Linked DNA regions of Rattus norvegicus. The main gene of each other region encodes a partner of the protein of the gene in region 3 in a complex. Links are inferred from orthologs where the notes say so. Each region holds a gene or a part of one and is shown on either strand. Other genes may lie near its edges.

The links. The genes of interacting proteins can lie anywhere in the genome.
Region 1: Syncrip (region 3) and Rpl13a share a complex: the UniProt entries of both Homo sapiens proteins name them as parts of the GAIT complex. The link is inferred for Rattus norvegicus from reciprocal best matches to the Homo sapiens genes SYNCRIP and RPL13A.
Region 2: Syncrip (region 3) and Dhx9 share a complex: the UniProt entries of both Homo sapiens proteins name them as parts of the coding region determinant (CRD)-mediated complex. The link is inferred for Rattus norvegicus from reciprocal best matches to the Homo sapiens genes SYNCRIP and DHX9.

Annotation. Positions count from the first base shown.
Region 1 is NC_086019.1:104,745,974-104,749,694, reverse strand, and holds Rpl13a (large ribosomal subunit protein uL13), read left to right. Parts: upstream 1-781; 5' UTR 782-795; coding exon 796-810; intron 811-1,823; coding exon 1,824-1,896; intron 1,897-1,927; exon of another isoform or gene 1,928-2,010; intron 2,011-2,139; coding exon 2,140-2,205; intron 2,206-2,302; coding exon 2,303-2,404; intron 2,405-2,448; exon of another isoform or gene 2,449-2,533; intron 2,534-2,607; coding exon 2,608-2,693; intron 2,694-2,733; exon of another isoform or gene 2,734-2,800; intron 2,801-2,864; coding exon 2,865-2,924; intron 2,925-2,967; exon of another isoform or gene 2,968-3,047; intron 3,048-3,135; exon of another isoform or gene 3,136-3,151; coding exon 3,152-3,274; intron 3,275-3,359; coding exon 3,360-3,446; 3' UTR 3,447-3,472; downstream 3,473-3,721. UniProt on the Homo sapiens protein: Associated with ribosomes but is not required for canonical ribosome function and has extra-ribosomal functions.
Region 2 is NC_086031.1:68,186,920-68,190,664, reverse strand, and holds the start of Dhx9 (ATP-dependent RNA helicase A), read left to right. Parts: upstream 1-1,118; 5' UTR 1,119-1,238; intron 1,239-3,745. UniProt on the Homo sapiens protein: Multifunctional ATP-dependent nucleic acid helicase that unwinds DNA and RNA in a 3' to 5' direction and that plays important roles in many processes, such as DNA replication, transcriptional activation, post-transcriptional RNA regulation, mRNA translation and RNA-mediated gene silencing.
Region 3 is NC_086026.1:98,312,541-98,316,207, reverse strand, and holds the start of Syncrip (heterogeneous nuclear ribonucleoprotein Q), read left to right. Parts: upstream 1-821; 5' UTR 822-1,328; intron 1,329-2,624; 5' UTR 2,625-2,636; coding exon 2,637-2,784; intron 2,785-3,481; coding exon 3,482-3,600; intron 3,601-3,667. UniProt on the Homo sapiens protein: Heterogenous nuclear ribonucleoprotein (hnRNP) implicated in mRNA processing mechanisms. Component of the CRD-mediated complex that promotes MYC mRNA stability.

The DNA of each region.
Region 1 (3,721 bases), on a different chromosome or scaffold from region 3:
ACCAAAGTGTAACAAGTAAGCAAAACAGTGTTGGAACCTCCTGGAGGAACCGACTCAGGCTGGGATGTTTAGGGAGATTTTTCAGGACAAAATGAGTCTTTCATACTGAACAATCTACTGCCTTTTTGTTGTTTCCTTTGGTGGTGGGCGGTTATAGGTGCACAGCAGGGAGGGCAGCTCAGACAACATTCACAGCTGGGTACAGCAGCAAGTGAGTGCATCTGCGTCTCAGGAACCTGAAAGGCCTTCTCTCCTTCATACTCTTCCATCTAGGAAGACTACCCCGACTTGTCTGACAGAAGGAAACTCCTAGGCTCAGGAAAGGCCAGCAATTTTCAGCACACCAAGAGGTTGAGGGGAGGGACCGTTACACACGCAGCTCTGAAGGGCGGGCCAAGACATATTCTCGCCCCCTTATGGCCACCACATGTTCTGCAACCGTCATTCGTTGATGGGAGTAATGGCGCTCCACATCACGGACACCTGAACCGAGACGTGCAATCCCTCCAAAATATGGCGGCAGCGGCTGGATGGCCTTGTACGGCTAAAGACGCCTCGAGAACCACGTGACCTCTCGCCCCGCACAGTCATGGCCGCCAAGATCCAACTCATGCGATAGTCTGATTGGACAATATGAAAGTGGCCCGCCTCCGGTGTGCGCGCACTCACCGCTTCGATCAATGAGAAAACAGAAACCCTTCAGTTCGAGCCATCTGCGTCACTTCCTCCGCCCCTGCAGCAAGGGATAAGAAACCCTGCGCCAAGACCTCTTCCTTTCCTAGGCGGCTGCCGAAGATGGCGGAGGGGCAGGTTCGGACTCTGCGCGCCGGGCGGTGTGGGGTTGGGGTGGGTTCCAGGAGGGAGCCGAATGGGAGCCCACTGCTCCACTCTGCTTGTGCGATGGGACTTAAGCAAACGTTTTGACGCGAGGGGGTTGTGTAACGTGGGCATAACCAGCCGCGGCAGTCTTTAGGTATGGGACGATGAAAGCCTAGCGTTTTTCCTGGGGAAGACGGGAGTGGGACTCGGGTTCCCAACACCGGAAAGAACTTTTATAGGTTTCATCTCCGGCATTGGGGTGTGGGGACCTTGGAATTGCTCATGCCTGGTATTGTACTTTTGTTAGTGGGAGGCTCCTGTTTTGCATGACTTAGGGTTTTTGTAACATCTAATATTTGGGCTTGTAGCCCTTTTGAGGGTGTTAAATGTTCAGAATTAAGGGGTGAAATGATGAAGCAGACTTGTAAAACAGACTGAGGGAGAAACCTCATGACTTTGAGGGTTGACAGGAGTTGAACTGCACCTTTCCTGCTGTTTTTAGATGTCTTGAGGGTACGTTGTTGCTAAGGAAGTAGATGACGCTGTTTGGGACAGTTTTTCACTTTAAAAATGTAAACGGTAGTGTGCAATGGTTTTCTCTTGTAGTTTGGGTTGTACTGTTCTGCACTGCTCAGAATTGCAGACAGGACAGCCATTGTAGTCTAGCTAACTACAGGTTCGTTTTGTGCTGCTTAGAGCAACAGGTCTGCTCTTAGTGAGAAAGCTGGGGATTTGGTGGGACTAAACAATGGGCTAAAGTCTGAAACCAAGTCTAGACCCTTTGTAGGTCATAGTGTGCCCATGGATCCCAGCTATCCTGAAATTTGAGGCCTGGTAGGGTAACATGAAGTTCCATTTTAAAAAGTCATGTTGTGTGCACATAATAATGTACCTTTGGGACACGTGGTTCATCTGGGTTATAGGCATCCTTGTGGGGAGAGGCACTGTGAAGGGGTTGGTAACTTGGAGTAGGGAAAGCCTACTAAGCCTTCCTCTTTCCACAGGTTCTAGTATTGGATGGCCGGGGCCATCTTCTGGGCCGCCTGGCGGCCATTGTGGCCAAGCAGGTACTGCTGGGTAAGTTTCATTCAACATCCACATTTGCCTGAGAGTCTGTGATGAGCAATAATCACCATCTTTCGTTTGAGTCTCACGACTGTGAGATCAACCCATGCACCGCTCTGAGACTTACTGCCCCTGCTTACTTGGGGTTCATGGCTTAGAAATGATTTTGGAACAGATCTGCATTCCACGAGTGCTCTGTGGCTTTGTTGGGTGTTCAGTGACTTTCCTGACTGTCTCCAACCCCATGCTTTCTAGGCCGAAAGGTGGTGGTTGTACGCTGTGAGGGCATCAACATTTCTGGAAATTTCTACAGAAACAAGTGTGAGTTAGGGCTGGGGTGGTGGGCTTGGGTGGGGCTAAGCAGGTCCTTAGTTGCTTTTTGGACCCAAAAGGCCTCATATACTTTTCCTTCTGACAGTAAAGTATCTGGCCTTTCTCCGAAAGCGGATGAACACCAACCCGTCTCGAGGCCCCTACCACTTCCGAGCCCCAAGCCGCATTTTTTGGCGCACTGTGCGAGGTAAGCTGGTCCCATGGGTGACATGGAGAGCAGGGGAGCATCTGGCAGCTTGTGATGAGGATGTCTCCCACTCATGTTCGAGTTGCCTGACTATGAGACGACTCTACATGCACTACCATCTGAGGCTGGCCTAATGCCCTGCTCCTGAGGTCAGGTGGGTTTCTCAGCACCTCTGATGAGGCCTGCTGCTGTTACACCCACAGGCATGCTGCCGCACAAGACCAAAAGAGGCCAGGCTGCCCTGGAACGCCTCAAGGTGTTGGATGGGATCCCTCCACCCTATGACAAGGTGAGCCTTGCAGGCCTAGCCTCACAGCCTCTCTGCATCTAGCGTCTGTGATGTTCTGTTACCTACATTGTTTGAGCCTCATGAAAACTGCACTGGCTGAGACGCCTGACCCATCAGCCTTCTTACCAAGTGCACCCAACACGTCTCTGAGCCCTTATTTTTTTCTAACAGAAAAAGCGGATGGTGGTCCCTGCTGCCCTCAAGGTTGTGCGGCTGAAGCCTACCAGAAAGGTAAGCTCTAGGCTACAGAATAAACTTGTGGGACCTCAAGACTGGCAGATGATGGTATATTCTCACGATGGTCTTCGGATGCCACAGTGCCGATAATGCCAAAGGCTGAGCTGATGCCAGGAGAGCGTCCATGTTGGGATGAGTCCTTGAAGTAGGGTCCTTAGGCCCTCCAGCTCACTCTGCTGCTGGGGCACATTCCATGTCCTTACAGCCTTGTGCCCCTGCAGTTTGCTTACCTGGGGCGTCTGGCTCATGAGGTCGGGTGGAAGTACCAGGCAGTGACAGCTACTCTGGAGGAGAAACGGAAGGAAAAGGCAAAGATCCATTACCGGAAGAAGAAGCAGCTCTTGGTGAGGATAGAACCTGCACTCCAGGGTTAGGGTGGCCCTGGGACAAAAGCAACAAATCTCTGACACTTGTCTTTTCAAACCACAGAGGCTAAGGAAACAGGCAGAAAAGAATGTGGAGAAGAAAATCTGCAAGTTCACAGAGGTCCTCAAGACCAATGGACTCTTGGTGTGAACCCAATAAAGACTGTTTGTGCCTCATGCCTGCCTGGCCTGCCCTTCCTCCACCGCCGACCAGGGATGTGGGGACCAAAGGGTCCTTAGTCACTGCTCCTGTAGGTAGAGGGTGCATTTAGACAGCTGAGTGAGAGCTCATCACCTGCTTGAGTTTTACATTATTAAAGTGATAACCATGGAATGACCTGATCTTCAGTGTTCAAAATGAGTAGCAGGGCTGCCCCACCCACCTGCCCCAATACCATATTCTGAAGCTATGAGAAGTGAGGGCTA
Region 2 (3,745 bases), on a different chromosome or scaffold from region 3:
GCTAAAACAAAGAACAGGATTTTGAGATAATTGGGAGTACACCTTTCATTCCAGCCCTAGGGGTAGAGGGTGGGGCAGAGGCAGACAGATCTGTCTCCAGGACAGCCTGGTCTACAAATCCCGGGCAGTTAGAGCTAAACAAAGAAACCCTGTCTAGGGGAGGGGCGAGGGGGGGAGACTAAAGAGCTCCCCTCCTCCCTTAGTGCAGTGGGAGAGAAGCATCTTGAGTTATGGTTTTCTTTTTTTGTGGGGTAACGGGAGACTGGGTTTCACTACAATGGGATTAATGACATTCTACCACCCCTGGCAATAAACCAGGGTCCTCTTGATTCTTTTAGATTTATTTTACTTTATGAATGTCTTGTTACCATGTTTGTGCCTTTTTAAAAAGATTTACTTTAGGGGCTGGAGAGATGGCTCAGGGTTAAGAGCACTGACTGCCCTTCCAGAGGTCCTGAGTTCAAATCCCAGCAACCACATGGACCTCTGGAAGAGCAGTTAGCGCTCTTAACCCTGAGTCATCTCTCCAGCCCAACAAGTGCTTTTAACCGCTAAGGCTTTTGTTTGTTTTTTTAGACAGGGTCTTACTATGTAGCCCTGGCTGTCCTGAAACTCGCCACATAGACCAGGCTGTTTTGAACTTAATGGAGGTCGGCCAGTCTCTGCTTCCTGGGTGCTGTGATTGAAGGCAAGTGTCACCATGCCGCACATGACCTGCAGCATTTTGGAGACGCAGAACTATTTCAGACATTTGAACATACTCATGGCACCCGGAAATACATTTCATTGGCATATTTTAAACTGCCCTTGTGTGAAAAAAAAACTATCAAAATGGAGATGCATGGTGGCATGTCTCTAAATTATGCTCTCAGAGGTTGAGGCAAGAGGACTGAGATAAGTTGTGGGCTAGCCTTCTCTACAAAGACATAACTTCCTGAGATCAAGCCGTTTAGCGACTGACAGGAAATTGTAGGCCTAGGCCAGTGGATCTCGCGCGACCTCAGGTTTGGCGCCCGGAAGTGGCTGTAGCTCCGTCTCCTCCGGGCGTGCTGGCTGGGGAGTTGGCCTACTGCGCAAGCGTGAGTCGCTGACTCCGCCCCCTCGGTCCCGCGGTCGAAGCCATTTCGCCGCTGCTTCCATGCGGGGTGAGGTGTGTTCCTTCGCCGTTTTTGTGGAAGGTTGGCGCTGCAAACTCGTCTAAGAAGGTTGTGCTCTCGGGCACGGAGAAGCGGAGGAGGGTAAGGAAGCACCGTGGCGGACCTAACGCGGGCTTGTTGTCGCGGGCCGACGCCGGCCTCCGCGGCTCTGCGGTGGCTTTGTTGTGAGGCGCGGACGGGGGGAGGGGCAGCGCGGCGGGTACCCGGATCACAGGCCGTGGGCGCGCCGGCCGTGGGGTTCTCGCGCTGCGGTGCAGCGGATAGCCCTAGGCGGTGGTTTTCCTCACACCGGTTGTCCGCTCTCGGAGGCCCCTTCCTCGGTCAGTCATGCAGCGGAAGTCTTTAATCAGAGTTGCCTGTAGCGGTGGCGGTTCGACGCCACACGGCGCGTCGGGTCCTCGCTTCTCTGATCCGGAACCCCCAGACCCGGTAGGGGTGATCTGCTTTGGGATACGAGGCGTCGTTGCAGTTCCTCCTGCACCGCACTGTTTACTGGGGAAGGATTGGTGGAGCGGAGTCAGGAGCAGGTGGTAGGAAAATGTGTGCATGATTTAGTAAGTGATGGCGGAATTACACCGCGCAACGGGATCGCCCTGCTTTAGATAACGGTTGCCAGAGACGGCGCCTCAGAGTCTGGGGGGTACTCGAGTCTGGCTTTGAGGTGCACAATGTATCCTCTCCAGAGATGCGGAGCGAGATCAATTACGTCTGAGACCAGACTGACCTGGAGGAAAAGAGGGCCAGCCACGTGACCTGAGGATGAGGAAAAGCATTTTTTTTCAGGGTGGCAAGAAAAAAAACCCACAAAATTCGGAGCCGGGAGCCGTGGCTTAGGACTTCATTCAGTCCCAGCACTGGGGTTGGTGGTCGAAGGTAGTCGGATCTCTTGTGCCAGGGCTACTACACAGAGAAACCGTGCCTCGAAAAACAAAGCAAAAAGAACTATTTCGATATACCAGTTAGTGGTGGCAGGTGACAGAAGAGCTGGAGAAAAGCAAGTAATATTACACATCTGGAGCCAAAACAGCAGGGCAGATGTGAGATGGAAAGTTTGACAGGGGATAAATTCTTAGTTTTCTAGGTCTGTAAAAGAAATGGTGGGTATTTCTAGGGGGGGCATTCACACTCCTTTCATTCTCGAAGTAAAACAAAACAGTACAGCACACAGTTTGAGGATTATATAGTCCCTAAGCCACTAAGGATCATGTCAGCACACGTTTAAGGATACAAGAGATAGCTGTGAAAGACCTTTGCGGAATGGACTAGATTTCCCAGTTCCTTGGTGCCATTATTGGGGATGGGAATTTATGAATGGGGGTTAGAATACACTTTAGGAGGTTTAAAATTCTTACTGAGATGCCTAGATAGTTTATAGATGGGAATATTAGTATTATCCTTGGATAAGATTTGGAACCTGAAGGACTGTATGTATCTATTTGGACTTAATTAGCAGGGATATTTAAAATTAAATGGGCTTTCTAGAGCTAAAAGGATTCGATAGACCTATGTTTTATGTTACTCGTTTACTTTGTACATTTACTTATGGGGTTTTTGTTTTTGAGACAGGGCTTCTCTGTAGACCAGGTAACCTCCAACTCAGATCTGCCTGCCTCTGCTCTCCAGGTGCTTGGGTTTAAACGCCCGGGCCAGCACACCCAGACTTGCGAAGGACTTTATTGTGTTTAACTTCTGAGTTGTACTATCTCGCTTTGTCATTTGCTTTACCAAATAATAAGATTAATAACTTTATCTTAATTAATAAGTTTATCTTAGGTCAGATTTGGTGAGTAGATTAAAGTTCTGTGTAGATGTCTTCTTGCATCCTGCTGCAGTAATCTCTCCTCTCTCCTGTCTAAATTTGGTCTTATTTTTATATGCATGAGTATTTTGTTGGCATGTATATGCACCATTTGCCAGAAGAGGGCATTGGATCCCTTGGGACTAGAGTTAAGAATGGTTCTAAGTCACCTTTTGGTGCTGGGGTTCAAACCTGGGTCCTCTGTTAAGAGAAATGCTCTAAAACCACTAAGCCACCTTCAGCCCCAAGAGGTTTTTGTTTTGAGATTCCCCCATCTTATCTTTTCTACCCCATTTTTACTTAAAAATTCTCTGAAAAAAAATAATATAATGTGACATGGTTTTTGTTGTTGGGAGGGATAACTTTAAGGCATATAAAATATTCATTGTAGAATGTAGTAAACTGCATAAAATATTTCAGTTAAAAATCAGTCCATGGGCTGGAGAGATGGCTCAGTGGTTAAGAGCACCAACTGCTCTTCTAGAGGTCCTGAGTTCAATTCCGAGCAACTATGTTGGTGGCTCATAACTATCTGTAATGGGGTCTGGTGTATCTGAAGACAGCTACAGTGTGCTCATATACGTAAAATAATAAGTCTTTTAAAAAAGTTTTCTTTACAATGAACCATTGTAGGGTATGTATATTCAAATTATACAGGTTGTATCTACATGCCATAGACTTCAACCGTATTAAAATTTCTTTTTTTTTTTTGTTCTTTTTTTTTTTTTTTCCCCCGGAGCTGGGGACCGAACCCAGGGCCTTGCGCTTCCTAGGCAAGGACTCTACCACT
Region 3 (3,667 bases):
CAGAACATTTAATTGCCAAGATGCTTGAAAAGAAACACATTTTCCTCATAGTTGTCCTAATCACGCAGCTTTCTGCTGCTTCAAGTTGTTCAAAGTGTGCCAGGAGGAGCACTTAACCGCTTAAAAGGCCAGGGACAGAAACGGAATATTGCACAATCCAACACCACCGGGCCGGTTAAGCTTCCAAATCTGGCCTCGGTGTCATCCCCGGGTGGGAGGAACTGGGATTTCCTCGCGAACCCGCGGCGCCCCTCCCTTTGCCCAGGGTATTCGTGGAAGCCGAGGACGGCGCGCGCCGGGCCGCGGGATGCCCCATTGTCCAGCGGCGGAAGCCGGGGCTCCCCGGGGTGACTCCCGAACTCGAGCCCCGCCACCCGGTGGCCCCGAGTTCCGCCATCCCCCGTGCAGCTCCCCTCCCCCGCAGCCCCATTGTCTGCCTCGCCTCGCCCCGCCCCGGGGGACACGTGCGCCTGCAGCTTCTCGAGCGCCCAGGGCGCGGGGCGGCGGTGGCAGCCTGGGCAGAGCGGTCAGCCAGCGCCGGGCACCCTCGGAGCCCCGACTCGCCGTGGGGAGGTGGGGGCGGGGAGGACGGGGTGGGGAGATGCTTGTCTCCTGACAAAGAAGGAGTGGGACACACAGCCAGCCGGCAGCCCCGCCCGCGGAGCGCGAGGGAGTGTCCGCACAGAGGGCGGGTCTCCCATTCACTCGGCCCCTCACGGTCGCCGCGGCGGAAGGGCGGGGTCTCTCCCCCCCCTACCAGCACCTAGGGGCGGGGCGAGAGGCGGGGCCCACGGGCGCGCGTCCTGAGGCGTCGGCTGCGTCGTCACGTCAGCGCGGGAGAGAGAAAGAGCGACTCGGCAGGGACTGGGGACGGGCCGAGAGAGCTAGCGAGGGAGGGCGTGAGCCAGAGAGCCAGCGAGGAGAAGGGCGGCCACTCGTGCTTGAGCGGCCGCGGACGGGAGTGGGAAAGCTGGGGGAGGAGGTGCAGGGAAGGAAGGACGAAGACCGAGAGGACAGGGCGGCCCACGGCCGGCAGAGGTGGCAAGGGGAGAAGGAGGAGCTGTAGGAGGGCAGGGGCTGAGGGAGTGAGTGAGAGAAGCGGACGCGCCAGGGAGGGGAGGGAAGGGGGGTCACGCGGGGGCGCGCGCGCGCACTGGGAGCGCGCTCGGAGGCGAGTGGAACTGGATCGGGTTTGCTGCCAGCGGCGTGAGCTTCGGCCGCCATTTTACAACAGCTCCACTCGCGCCGGACACAGGGAGCAGCGAGCACGCGTTCCCCGCCACCCGACCCGGTCGGACAGGATTCCTCGGCCCCAGCCCCGCGGGGAGGTAACGACGGCCGGCACACGGGTGTTGGGGAGGGGGGAGCTCCGTGACATTTTGGAGGGTGCTTGGGGGAGGGCGGCGCGGGGAGAAACCGGCTTTTCTGGAAAATGGATTCCAAGGGGGAGAAGAGCACGTTGGCCGGGGCTGCGAGAGAGTAGGCCGCGGTCGCGCCGCCACTTCCTCCTCTCCATGTGCTGCCGGGTCTGGGCTTTGTCTGCGGCGCTCCGGGAGGAGGCGCCTCGGCAGCCCCGTGGCCCGAGCGGATCGCGAGCGGCGGCGGACTTGGTGCTGTCGTGGCCGGCGGCGCGGGAGTGGGCGGAGAGGCGCGGGTGCTGTCCCGCGACCGGCCGGCGGGCTTGGGCGGTGCTCGGCTCCCGCGGGCGTGTGCTTGGCGGCGGAACGCCCTCCCGGCGCGGGCTGTCGGCCTCGGCGCCGCAGCCACTGCACCGAGGGGTGCGGGAGGCTGGGGGTCGCGGGCGCACGGGAGCGCCCGGGGCGGAGAGCCATGTGTCACGGCGGAGACGGCGGCGCTGGGGGGCGGGGAGAGCCCGTGGCCTGGCGCCGCCGCGGCCTCGCTTTTGAGGGGCGAGATGTGCGGCTGCAGTGTTCGGGGGGCTCGGACCCCGATTGCGGGTTGATGTTGGGAGGCGGTCATGACGGTCTTGGCCTGGTACTCGGTGGGTTTCCGTTGAAGGAAGTTGTAGGACATTTGAAGGCGCAGAGCACGTGTTTCTAATGGGCTCCTGGCGGCTGCAGTGGCGTTGCTGCCGCTCCGGGTGCGGAGTCGGGGGCGGGCTTTGGGGTGTGGGGGTGAAGGGTGGAGGAATTGGGTGGTGGGAAGGTGGCTTGTGTGAGCGCTTTGTTCTTCGCTGGCTGTTGTTACTGATCTATAAGCGGCAGGCGGGAAAAGCGCACTTTCTGGTTTACCTTGGAGAGAGACAAGCCCAGCGTTGCTTGCTTCACACACCTTATTCTCCGTTTTGGAAGTGCTGCGTGTGGCAGGCTGGGCCGGTCGCTGTGCTGATTGGGCTTCATTTGTAATAAGGTTTTTCTCAGTGAGTGTTAGTTAGCAGGTGAAGTGAGGGGTGGTGCTCAGGAAGAAAATAGTGAATCGGTCCTTCTGTACCCCGGGCTCCACAGTCTGGCTTGTCAGGCGATAGTGACTTTAAGGTTTCTTTCAAGGGAGGCTCAGGCTGACTGGTTGTAGTCAAGTGGAAGAGAAAGTAAAGATTGGGACTGTCATTGTCCTCTATTCTGTTTGAAGATCCTAGTTTAATTTTGCTTATTGCGTTTGAACAGATCTCTGGAAACATGGCTACAGAACATGTTAATGGAAATGGTACTGAAGAGCCCATGGATACTACTTCAGCAGTTATCCATTCAGAAAATTTTCAGACATTGCTTGATGCTGGTTTACCACAGAAAGTTGCTGAAAAACTAGATGAAATTTACGTTGCAGGTAAGAACTAACACTTGCAAAATTACATTATGAAATTTTTCTATTGGATTTCTGACTTTGAGCTAAAATAGCAACTTTTTGTGGTTTCCAATAAACGTGGGAACTGGAGCTTGGCCTTGTTCTGATAGTTGGTTAATTTAGGTTTGAGGTAGAGTGTAGAGGGAGGGATGAAATGAGGGGATAGACCTCCCTAGGGGAAGGCTGTCTGGCCTGATGGATAAGTATATGATAGTAGCAACAGCTGCTGAATGTTGAGAGCAGCCCACGTGACTTTTTGAGGTATTTTTATAGCATGATTCTTGTTTAATAACTTGGTAACTCTAGGCTAGTTCTCTTGTCTTTCTCGGTGTGGTGGCTCCTTTTTTCTAGTGGTACTTGACATTGAGGAGAGGTTCAGTTGTTAGGCTTGGTGTTTTGTTGGTTGACTTTAGGATTTGTAGGCTTATATATTTACTGTAGAAATATTGAGTGTTCAGGACTACTCGAACACAAAACAGGATGTAAAATAGGTTGACTCCTTCTGTGGTTGAGAGGACTTATGGCTAAAGTAGGTGTTTCATTATGTAGAGGAGGGGAGGATAAGGAGGGTAGGTAGAACCATTGTCATATGTGTACCTGTATGGGTAAATACAGGACTCTGAAGAAATAGTTTAGAAAATTTAAAAGATGATAACTCACTAAACTTTTTCTTCTCCAGGGCTAGTTGCACATAGTGATTTAGATGAGAGAGCTATCGAAGCTTTAAAAGAGTTCAATGAAGACGGCGCATTGGCAGTGCTTCAACAGTTCAAAGACAGTGATCTCTCTCATGTTCAGGTATGTTAATTTAATGTCAGTGTAGAAAGAATTAAAAATGAATATTTTTGATGTGTTCATTTAAATT